2 linked regions of the Neodiprion lecontei genome follow. The protein of the gene in region 2 interacts with the protein of the main gene of each other region in a pairwise test. Links are inferred from orthologs where the notes say so. Each region holds a gene or a part of one and is shown on either strand. Other genes may lie near its edges.

The links.
Region 1: the proteins of TRAF3-interacting protein 1 (region 2) and intraflagellar transport protein 20 homolog interact in a two-hybrid assay, tested with the Homo sapiens proteins (2 studies listed by IntAct). The link is inferred for Neodiprion lecontei from reciprocal best matches to the Homo sapiens genes TRAF3IP1 and IFT20.

Annotation. Positions count from the first base shown.
Region 1 is NC_060264.1:1,963,374-1,968,327, forward strand, and holds intraflagellar transport protein 20 homolog, read left to right. Parts: upstream 1-1,838; 5' UTR 1,839-1,847; coding exon 1,848-1,971; intron 1,972-2,551; coding exon 2,552-2,706; intron 2,707-2,821; coding exon 2,822-2,935; 3' UTR 2,936-4,434; downstream 4,435-4,954. Other genes in the region: BTB/POZ domain-containing adapter for CUL3-mediated RhoA degradation protein 3, read right to left, coding at 1-171, 263-575, 692-944; probable protein phosphatase CG10417, read right to left, coding at 4,824-4,954. UniProt on the Homo sapiens protein: Part of intraflagellar transport (IFT) particles involved in ciliary process assembly. May play a role in the trafficking of ciliary membrane proteins from the Golgi complex to the cilium.
Region 2 is NC_060263.1:6,630,752-6,637,762, reverse strand, and holds TRAF3-interacting protein 1, read left to right. Parts: upstream 1-1,650; 5' UTR 1,651-1,780; coding exon 1,781-1,915; intron 1,916-2,048; exon of another isoform or gene 2,049-2,049; coding exon 2,050-2,167; intron 2,168-2,255; coding exon 2,256-2,368; intron 2,369-2,457; coding exon 2,458-2,781; intron 2,782-3,029; coding exon 3,030-3,601; coding exon of another isoform or gene 3,602-3,614; intron 3,615-3,723; coding exon 3,724-3,852; intron 3,853-3,943; coding exon 3,944-4,187; intron 4,188-4,360; coding exon 4,361-4,486; intron 4,487-4,626; coding exon 4,627-4,712; intron 4,713-4,882; coding exon 4,883-5,033; 3' UTR 5,034-6,480; downstream 6,481-7,011. Other genes in the region: zinc finger protein 2, read right to left, coding at 150-235, 704-790, 934-999, 1,103-1,118.

The DNA of each region.
Region 1 (4,954 bases), on a different chromosome or scaffold from region 2:
ACGATAGAATGACAACAAACTTCGGCAACCTTACGACCATGTCCATAAAAAGTCCAGCAACAAATTTCACTCGACCCAATTACGTCCTTAATGAACAAAACCCTGCCGCTAAATCTGAGCGACATCTTGTCAAACAGTTCTATATTTTTCAAAAGATTGTCATCTGATGTACTGTAAATAGAAACGAATGGGTCATATGATTGCTTTCCAAAAAAAATTTTAAAAAGCGAAAAAAGCCAAGCTGTTTAAATCTGTCTCCTACCTCGTGTAAGAGTACTTGTTGTTGTGACGATTAATCAGCAATTTAACAACAGGTTTTGTTGTGTTGCTGATAAGGAGTTGCTGCTCACGTTGGGAGGTGATAAGTGGAACCCTGCAGATGGGTTCAGCCTCCCGCTCCTTCCGCTGGAGCGCTTGTTCGCACGACTCAGCCAGCTCGCCGATGCAATAATACTTTGCCTCGGCCAGCAGCTCTGCCATCTCCTTCACACTCTCAGGTAGCGGAACTGAACCGTCCCGCAAAAAGTTTAAGATCGTGCCAAAGTGCTTGCCACACCGATCGATTAGGATCCAGCCTGTGAAAACGAATAATAGTAAATAAAAAGAAAGTAGGGAACTTGGGTGATTTTAAAATTTGTACACCATTTCATTTGGAATTGCCTTTTGGAAAGAGGCATGAGCGGCTCCTCACCTTCGCAATCTGTAAGAACCTCCATCCGACCGCTAAACATAGCTCGCAACATAGTGTCATGTTTGGTGAGCGTGCCAATGGTGGTGTAATGAAGGGAACCGCCAATGTTTAATTTGACGTACTGCGACGGGTTTCCTTTCATGACAGTTTTGTGATCCCCCGACATAACGATTTCGCCGCCAGGTATTAACGCGGCCGCGGATGATGACGATGATGGTGATATGTTAATTGTATCGAGCGTCAGACTCAACATTTAAGACATGAGCAACAGAATCGTTGCTTGTTAATAGACCGGAAATTTTATTAAAACCTGCGTAACTAAGGTTATTTACAAATACAAGTTGGATTCGCTGATCAACAATAACAGCGAATTTAATACGATGTGATTTTAGGTTATAATCACTGTAAACCAAATCGAGTCATTTCGACCTCGTGATGGTTTCCTATGTCTTATCTAATTATACGAATTGTATTAAATTCTTATCCGCGGCACAATTCATTCGATATTCTCATGGTCACTAAACAAAAATTCCTTTTAATAAACCAAAAAAAAAAAAAACACTATTTATATGTTTTGCCCCATGTTGGAGACGTGAATATGATACGCGTATGAGAATGTATGCGAGCATTATGCATGAGTGTAACTCGCTTGTGTTAACAGGCTTGGGTAACGATATCCTAACGAAGAGAGTCAGCCTTATGATGATACGTGTTTCAACAAAATTTAACAGCGAGCTACACCGGCTAATATGCATTTTACAATGCCGACATCGTCAACTGACATACCGACAAAGCGTGTTGTCTTTTTCTAGCTGGCGCATTCAAAAGGGAGGGAAAATTTAACGTTATCGATAAAACGCCGGCTGACGTTTTTCTTAACCGACCAGCACCCGAAAATTATAGCCCGTTATGAATGCCGGAAAACCAAGTTTTGAGCAGGTTTTATAAACTTTCACTGCTTTTCGCTATACATGTTGTCTACTTCACCATTCCTTTACACGCGCAATAGCTTAATTGTCGTAGATAATTGTAATGAAGGAAGATTATCGGTCGGCTAAGAAAATGCATAGTACCGCCTTAACTCGCCCGGCACCTGCGCGTAAAGCAATTGCAATATACACATGCATACGTCATGAATCACATCTGTTTGACGAAAATGGCCGACTCGCTGGGAAAATATGGGTTATTCATCGATGATTTGAGCAAGATACGGGTACTGGAGCCAGAAATATCGAATCAAACAAATAAATTGAAAGAGGAGTGTCAGAATTTTGTTTCCAGTAAGTGACAAGCAGATATAAAAGCACAAAAGGGATCAATCAGCGTGACAGCGATTGACAGCGGTTCCAATGGCACATGCACACAATTAAAATCGTCCATAATAAAAACATCAATACAGAAAAATATACTTGTTATTAAAATCTTATTCGATTCACTTACCTCTATTAAAATTTATTTCACAACCCTCGAGACGTTTATTAAAATACAATTCCCATCAACGCGCTCGTTATCAACGAATATCCTTGCTTGTTATAACTTTGTAAATCGCGCAGACTGCCATCTTTATTATTTTACGCAGACTAAAAAGTTGATGTGTGCGTATATGTTTAGCCTTATACACACTTCGAAGTTCGATTAGAGCTGGTGTAAAAATAAACTGAATCAAGTAGAATGCATTATAGAAATTGTACATTATGAATTACGACGGATTTAACGGTTGTCCTTTTTTCCGAAGAAAATGGATTGATTTATCGTAGGAACCGTTTCGATAGCCCCGTATAGCAACGAGCGAGAAAGCGAATGGAGTACAGCATAAAGTACGAGTGCAATTATTGTTCTAATCCTGGGTAAAATTTTTAGAAATAACAGAGTTCCAAAAGAGTTCCGACGACTTCATTCAGATCGTCGACAATTTGGCGAATGAAGTCGAAAAAGAAAAGATGCGGACTATAGGGGCGCGTAACTTGTTGCGCTCAGTCGCTAAACAGAGAGATGCACAGAGACAGCAAATTCAGGTGTACATCATGAATTACAATTAAAGTTTTCAATCATTACCATTAATTTTATCGTATGCAACGAACGACAACAATGTACTAAACACGCGGTGCGTGTGTTTTGTTCTATTTCTAGGCTCTTATAATTGAAAAGTCAACGGAACTGGAGCGGCTACGGGTGCAGTACGATTCATTGAAAAAAATCGAACTGGAACAACTAGAAACTATAGAGCAATTGACCGCGAATTGATGTTAAAATTTTTTATCGGCATTATTCATATTTATCTTCTATTTCCTTTATGCATATTCTTTATTCCGTGTGACTTTTTCAATGAGGATTGTAGCATACAATTATAAACACTGTTATCAGCTGGTGTATACAATATTATGATGGTGTAATTAATGAAAAATACAAGAGGGTGGTATTTGGGCTGAGCATATAGATAAATTACAGTAATTACACAACGAAGAGAAACGGAATTAAGATCCAAAACAATGAATAATAATAGATAGAATAATTGACGAGTTTTTTTTTTTTCTCCCAAAATTACATAAATCATGTGTGATGTAATTATTTTTAAAGGAAAAACTCATAGCGAGATGTGTATGCCGTGCGTGTGTATACATATACATTGCTGTATATATACATACGTACGGACTACATAAAATTATAACATAATAATTAAACACGGAAATAAACGGGCTTTGGGTTACTGGCTCTATTTAACCTATCTGCATACTGCACCACATATAATTTGAAAAGGCACACGTTCAAGGATCGCCTTCCCTCTCTTAACTGTTCAATATTACTCGTTATTGAGCATTTCTTCATTATTACATACACGGTCAAATTTAATACTTCAATCCGTATTTAATTTTTGACATTCAAGATTAACAACAGGCGATTCTCTTTTATCTATTTTTTTTTCATTTGTTTGTAGTTTACAGTAGATGCCATGAACCGCAATTTATTCGATGATCGAGTGGATTGTTAAACATCGTTCATATTTCGCTTCAAAGCGAAGAACAGAAAAAAAATTGTATTTTACGTCAACAACTTAGACCTATTAAGATTGGATTATTATCATCATCATCATCAACGTTTGTAGATAAAAAAAATGTACATAACGTATATTTTTTCATTCTCTTATAACAATAAAGTTATTTTAAAAGAGAAAAATAATCATAAAGATTTACTGCAAACAGTATTCATTCATTACTACCAGCACTGAACTTAATTCATGTAGACACGTAGTCAAGGGCAATTATATTAATGATAAGAATGATAATTATAATAAGAATAATAATAATGAGAAATAGATTAAACTAGATAACATTATAGTCACGCAACCATCCATACAACCATATAGTAACCAGGAATTCAAAAATAAACTTTATTTAGTAAAAATAAGAAATGGTGTCGTATTGAATTACAAATATTATTATTAATCCTACATCCTAGATTTATAAATATGTACAGTTACATACCTATTACACCTGTAACCTAGAAGAACTCTCAGTTGAGTACACATCATAAGAGTAGATTGGAGCAGATAGGAGAATCTAATTCCATTTCCTCTCGTTAAGTTTGCCACATCTTTTTCACACAACGGTTTGCGATAATCAAATGTTCCATGCACGCATCATATATATTAATATGCCGCGACACTGAAGCTATAACATATTATGTTGTTTTCTGATCCTCAGATACCCATTAAACTCGAAAGGCAACAGATTTATTTAACAATGTCTCATTAAAAAAAAATTTAAAACAAACTCTATAAGCGTCAGCCCCCAATCTGCTCCAATCAATCAGTCTGCCACCATTGTTCAACACTAACGATTATTGCAATCCTCCAGACGTGACGGTTTTACACTATTACTATTATTATTCATCATTCATCCGTTCGTTCTGTGTATGTTCAATCATAAAATAACTATTATACTGAGAATTTCGCCAATTTCTCAATTTATTAAGTCCACAGTTTTTGTCGGTTTTTACCTTTATTTTTTTTACCGTTTTTGCAATTCAAGTTTCACACAGCAGGATTTCCAAAACTTTACAACGGCCGTATTATTATCATTGTGTCACTCTCAAGAGGTTGCAGAGATACGTTAGTGAAGCTTAGCATAACTTCCTAGACAGTCTCGGTCTTTTGACGCTTAGATTCTGGCGTCGTTTCTTCACCTGTGGATATGTTACCTTCGTTTGCCAAAGGAATTGGTGATGCCGGTCTTTTCTTATTCTCCGTTGCGATTGATGTCATAT
Region 2 (7,011 bases):
TACGTTGTAAAGACTAGCACAGAAAAGCTTGATGTTGAATTTAAGTATAATCACATAAAATTGGTTTTAATAAAAGGTATGGAATACTAATTTGCTCAGTTCTCGTTACAGCATACTTATTAGGATACAGAAATGGTAACTGAACTTACATCTTCTGATTTGAATATACGGCGACAGGTAACACATTCGTAGTCTGTTATAATTTCAATTATATGATCAGTTTCGTCTGACCCAGCTGTAATGGAAACACATGTATTAGTATAAAAAACTTCATCTGTAACAGTAACTTACTAAGTCATTGATATTTACATTGCTCATTTAAAAAAATATCTGATCAACTTTAGTAGTAAAGAACTACTTGACAATGTTATCGAATATGGGATGCTCATCATTGTAAGTAAATCAGATTCGAAAACTACTTGTGACGTCATTCGCAAAAGCCATCTCAAATTCTAGAATCCCACTTTGTGTGACACATAGAATAACTGATATTTTTTGCATGTTTTTGAGTCAATTATTATTGAAGAATTAATTGTATCCAATTTTTTGCCTAATAACTTATTACCATTTCAAAGGAGCCGCCTTTCGTGTTATTAAATAAAAATTCTACGTCAATGTATATTATGATGTCAATGTACATTAGTACGCATGTATTGAATTATATACGTATACATAATAATTGTTTGAGGTGCTAAAAATACACTCATTTTATCCTTACACTGTCCGTTGAGTAGTTCAATCTCCTCCTGAGCATCTGCAGCCTGTATGGCATTTTCGTTTTGTGAGTCGCCTACAATAGAAATCAAACAGGTGTTGAACAGATGGTTAGTTTACCCGTCTATCGTAGAAAATTTTATTTGTATTACAGAAAAGATACGTAGTAATAGAATAACAGTATTAACAATCACTTTCGGCAACTACGCCACTACATACCAAACAATAGTTCAACAGCCTCCTCGACATTCCCTGACGGGACGGGATGTTCTATCTTTACGATTTCTGTAACAGACAACATGTATAATGGCGTGAATTCGTCGATTTAACCAAAATATACGTATGAACGAAAGGCACCGATTGGTAATCATCGGGGACGGGTAATTACCTATAACACGCGGCATGCTTTCAGTCTAACGGGAGAGAATCTCCCTGACATCCGACGCAGCGATGATCAATGGTTTTCCAGATCTCTTTACTTGCAACCTCGCACTACGATACCTGTGATCTAGACGTTGCTCAGCGTGTTTGTTTCATGTACAAAACACTTTATTATCCTAAATCTAAACAGCAATACCAGTTTGTGTTTCAGTTTGGAATAAATAATGTGTCAATATTAAAGTAAGACTGGGAAAAAATGTATAAACACGAACATTTGCCCCTGATGGAACGTCCACCTTGGGACACGACGCATTACAAAATGGCCTACATAAAGGGGCACGCCTTTGTGAAGCAAAGATTCTCAATTCCGAAGATATTTTGATGAAAATAACATGAGCCAAAAGGGAATTTTATTTTCAAATGCTATAACCATCGTTAATTTTATAAGAAATATCGTATTTTTCTTTATCGCTAAGCTTTTTTTCACAATTCAATTCGAGTTTGTAATGTTGGCTGCCCTGCGCGTGACGAGAGGAAGGCATTTCAGTGGAGGAAGATCACGTGGTTATAGATCTGATCACGTGATCCGTCGCCAACAGCAACCGATACGTATACAACATCGCCCTGTCAAATCTATTTCAACATTTGAAACGTCGTATTTTATTTCCATAATATATAATAGAAAATGACGGAAGACGTAAAGCCGGAAGTAATTAAAAAAACTCAAGATATTCTCGGGAAATATTTTAAAAAACCACCACTCACGGAAAAATTGTTAAAGAAACCACCTTTTAGATTTCTACATGATATAGTCTCATCGGTAATACTGTTAGTTAATATTACGCGCTTTTTTACATTTAATTCATTTTTCATAATTGCTCACCCTTATTTAAAATAAAAACTTTGAAATTATTCTGCTAATTTATTGTGCTTAACGTTCTTATAATGTTAAAGGTAATTAGAGAAACTGGATTTCTCGATGGTCTTTTTACAGAAGATGAATTGAATTCCGAAAATATAAAAGACAAAGACTCCAAGCTTGCGTATTTAACAAAACTGATTGACGTTGTGAGTAAGTGAAACGAAGACACAAATTATCTAGATGGTCATATTTTTCCTGATTATTCTAGATAGCTAACATAATAAGTTAAACATTTCAGAGTTGATTACTGGAAATAACCTCATGGTACGACCCAGTAAGATCATCGCTGGACATGAACCCACTCGAACCAATGAGTTACTGCAAGCGATTGGAAAAGCCCTTGACAAAAAGGTATTCACAATAATTTCTAGTTATTCGTAAAATGGTAAACCCAATGTTCAAAATGGTATCACTGTGTAATTGTTTATCTTTCACAATAGATCAGCAGCGCAGAAGCAATAGAGCACTATAAAAATAGTAATGGTAGATCTAAGGGGCCAGTGAAATCAAAACTGGTTGCTAAAGATGAGTCTAAGAAGCCAGTGTCTAGACAGTCTTCACAATCTAGAAAACCAGTGGAAAAAGAGAAGCCTCCGATTGATCAAAAGAAAAAGTCTACAAGCACCAGCAAAAATGCACCCAAAGAAGTTAAAACCCGTGCTGAGAATAGACGAGAAAAACTACACGAACAGGAAAAAGAGAATAAAGCAAAAAATAAGGGTGGGGATAAAAAAGAAAAGATCGTTGAAATTCCTTCTGCTGAGGTAAAGAGATGTTGATATAGGAGTTAGAGTAGATAATCTATTTTAGATATAGGTTGAGCGTCGTATTTTGTTTACCTTTTGTATCGTAGAGCCTTTTCTTTTTTTACTTTGATCGATAAGAAAGTATTTTCTTCCATTGTTTTGAACACCGCCATGACGATTTTATAAAAGATTTAGTCATTTGACAAACATATTATCCATAACTCTTGTAATGTCGCCCAATGATTGTATAACTAAATTATTTTTAGTCCAAGGAAGAAAAACGGCCATCTTCGGTGAGGCGACAAAGACGCTCAGCGTCAGTTCAACCCAAGGAAGATCCTTCATCACCAAGAACGTTAGACTCCCCAAAAACCAAACCTGCTTTATCAGATTCAACAAATTCACCTACTCATAAAATGACGGAATCTTCGTTGCGTAACACCAACTCGCCGATAGACAAGCAAGTAAAATCGCAACAAGGTAATAACCAAACGGAACAACCGCCTGATAGAATATCAGAACCAGAAACAAGACAATCTGCTGAAATAAGGGGAAAAACAAGCGCGAATGATGATGGTTCTCGTAGAAGCTCACATTCTGATGGTAGGACAAAGAGAAGTGCAGAAAAAAACTCAGCTCCCTTAGAAGGTGAATCGAAACCGAAATCTTCAGCTGGGAACAAAGTAAGAGAAGCAAGTAGCCTGCTGTCACCAAATCATAAATCATCGAAATCAGATACAGTACCAAACAAATTACAAAAACAGTATACGTTTGAGCATCCAGGTTCTCCACCACCAAAGCCTGCAGGTCCCCCAGACGATTCTGCAAATACAGCAATGTCAGTCTAATAAGTATATAGTTCAATATTAATGAATAGCTCGATAGTGTTTTTATAATCTGGTAATGAAACGAAAACAATGTTTGTAAAGTTTTCAAACTATTACTGTGGTTTGCTTATAGAGTTCCTGAGACGACAGTAGTGAGATCAAAAACTTCACTGCGTCCTCCCAGTGCCAGGCCAATGAGCGCTAGACCTGCAGCTCCTAGGATGCGATCAAAAACTGAATTCATTTTAAATGAAGATATAACGTAATCCTAAGGATCATTGGTTATTGATAATAAAGTAATTAGACATTAACACATATGTATTTTTTTCTAATGTGCTTTTTTTTCATTTCAGAACTCCAATGGGCACTGTTAATGTAATCGTAGAAAATTTTGACACAAAAGAGGAAGATGACGTTGATGATATGGTTGTAATGGAGACAGGTGGGAGTGGGGATTCCCTAAACATCGATGGATTAGCTAGGACTGAAAGTCAGCTTTCGGAAGAACATGGACATCTGGTAGCTCAAATTTTGGAGACTCAAAGAGAGTTAATCAATACGGACAACGTCGATGTTATGCCCAAGAAGGTGGAGATTGTGAGCATATTTGAATATCTGATCACATACTGAACATCACGTTTAACCGGCTAAGTTTTCAAGTCCCCGCTACTTTCTCAAATCAATCTTCTGATGCACCAGTATCTCAGACCAGTAGTATCTGAGTATATTTCCAAATCCATAGAATAAAATTCACGTGTATATTGTTATAGGAATGGGAAGCAGGATCAAGAAGAGATCGTGAAACAGCAATAAAAGAAATTGATAAATTGCGAAGTTCTATTCAAACTTTGACGCGAGCGACAAACCCACTGGGTAAACTCTTGGATTATTTACAGGTAAAAAATTACTTTTGTAGTTATATAGCATTTTGATTGAGACCATACAAGGCTGCAGAAAATTACGTCCATTTTATTCATTTGCAAAGATACAGTCTTTTCAACCTGCATGCATTCAACGACCTGTATTTGCTTAACAGGAAGATGTAGAGATGATGCAGAGGGAACTCCATGAATGGCGAAGTCAATATAATCAATTGAGTGAACAATTACGCCAGGAGCAAATGTGAGTAAATAATAGTCGACAACTATCTCCATTCATCAGCGCACCTATAATTACTCAGTATTAAAAAATTATATAATATTTAAACAGCACTGTCGCACTCTTGTTAAAGCAGTAATAATATTCCAAATAATTATATAAAATACGCATAAATTTTGTTATTGTTATGACAGCTCAACAGAGGAGTTTATAGAACCCATGAAAGGAACTCTCAAAGACATCGAAGGTAATATCAAAGTTCAGTTGGATAAAATACGCCAAGTAAAAGCTGGGATAATGAAAAATGATCAGAAGATACAGAGATTGCTCAATGGACATTTGTAGGAAACTAATTACTAACTTGGTATCGTAAGATGGATAATTCAACAAGCTCGTACCAACTGCGTATTAACTTATTCTCATACATGATACTACAATAGATACAAACATTTTACGTTGGATGCAATAGAAATACCAACATGTAATACAGCTGCGATATAACATGACAAATAGTATTTCATAATCTTTGTTTTATTGATTATCTGTATTAATTATAACAAATTTTACTAAAATAATAGCGACAACTAAAGTACACAGTGTTGCAGACCAAACCGATTGTATGAATATCTGCCGTGTTGCATTTCAGGTACTAAATTGTAAGACTTGTGAACGCCACAAATTATAAAAATTTGGCAATCATTTCACGCTTACATGCGTTCTCTGCTTTCTTTTTTGGTCAGTGCAGAAGGAATCTATGTCGAGCTAATTGCATGTATTGCTATTTTATTTAATATAAACTTGTATCGTCCAACAAATTAGGTCATTTATAGTAATATAGTTTACATATTTATTTGGATGACAGTAATACCATACTATAGCATAATATTATGACGATGTTTATAGACTATATCTAAGATTGCACCAAGTAACAAGGTTTTTTTTTTCTTTTGTTTTTTTTTACACTTTATGCGATAGATTAAAGCAGAATGGACATTTTTTATTATAACGAATGTAACCAGAGTGACGAACTCACTGGTGAGTCCTAATGAACCATAATTGAAAAGTGTACCGTGCATCCTTGGCATATGACAATTAGAATGTAAGTGCAAAATGCTATGTAAAAATTGCTTGGTATGCAGTCGATACACCTCAATTATGAAACTTGGCAAGCCATTAGCATGCTCCTTTCTAAGGAAATTGTCCTACATACAGGTGTAAATATTGTACCTATTTTCACAGCTATAATCCTAATGAATCATACAGCTCGTGATGTCAATTTCAAAAGATCATGCTCAGTTATTTAAGTAGTCTTCTTGTTAAGTTTTATAAAGTCTGATAATAAACAGAAGGCAATCTCCTGGAGATCGGGCGAAGGACAAGATTTTGAAAACCAATAATTGTTCTGTAACATAATTATAATTCTGACTATAAAACTTTTCCATAATTATAATTAATATTTTTTACAGTAATTGTTTATGCGTATTATTCGCAAGGTAAATGTTACTTTGCCCAGCAAACAAAACAGAACCAGTTGAATCAGAACTTATACACATAGATACATACATTGTACAGTAATTACAAATTATTCTATGTAATTTATAGTTCATGTACACGTTTTTATGATTCTTTACAATATTATTTTCTTTTCTATGAATATAGACTTACCTATATACACCTTTGTATATCATTATGTATAATAATATAACAGTTTATTTTTGTGCAAACATAGAAATTTACATTACAAAAATGATCTATGTCCATACATTATTATGCAAGGGCTTCTCAGTTTTCATTTTCTAAAAAAAAAAAACCGTAGTAAACTAAAGTTTATATTGGAAACACATACTGAGATGAAAGAATAATTTTTTTGCGAAATTTTGAAGTTCTTACCTAGTTTGTTATACAAAGATTACAGATATTTTGCACTTATATAAAATAATATATTGTATATTTATATTTCATACGCGAGGAAAGTAAAAATAAATAGGTATTTGTTACTGAGTAATTATAACATTCGAGTAAATATTATTTATATTCAATTTGGTTTCAACAGAATTAAGTTTCTATTTCATTTCTGCTGATACTTAAATGAATCTATTCTTCTTGCAAATTACTGCGTAAAACAAGAAAGCTAATTTTAAAAACTTGCAGAAAGTAAAATAAATTCGGCGGAAAATAACAGTGGCTACCTTTTCTTCAAAATAACTTACTAATTCGTTAAATTGAATAGTGAACTGCATAATTTTTCAGCTTAACAATTTTACCAAGCATCAAATGTATATATTCTTTATAATGTATGGATATTTTATAATCTATTATTACT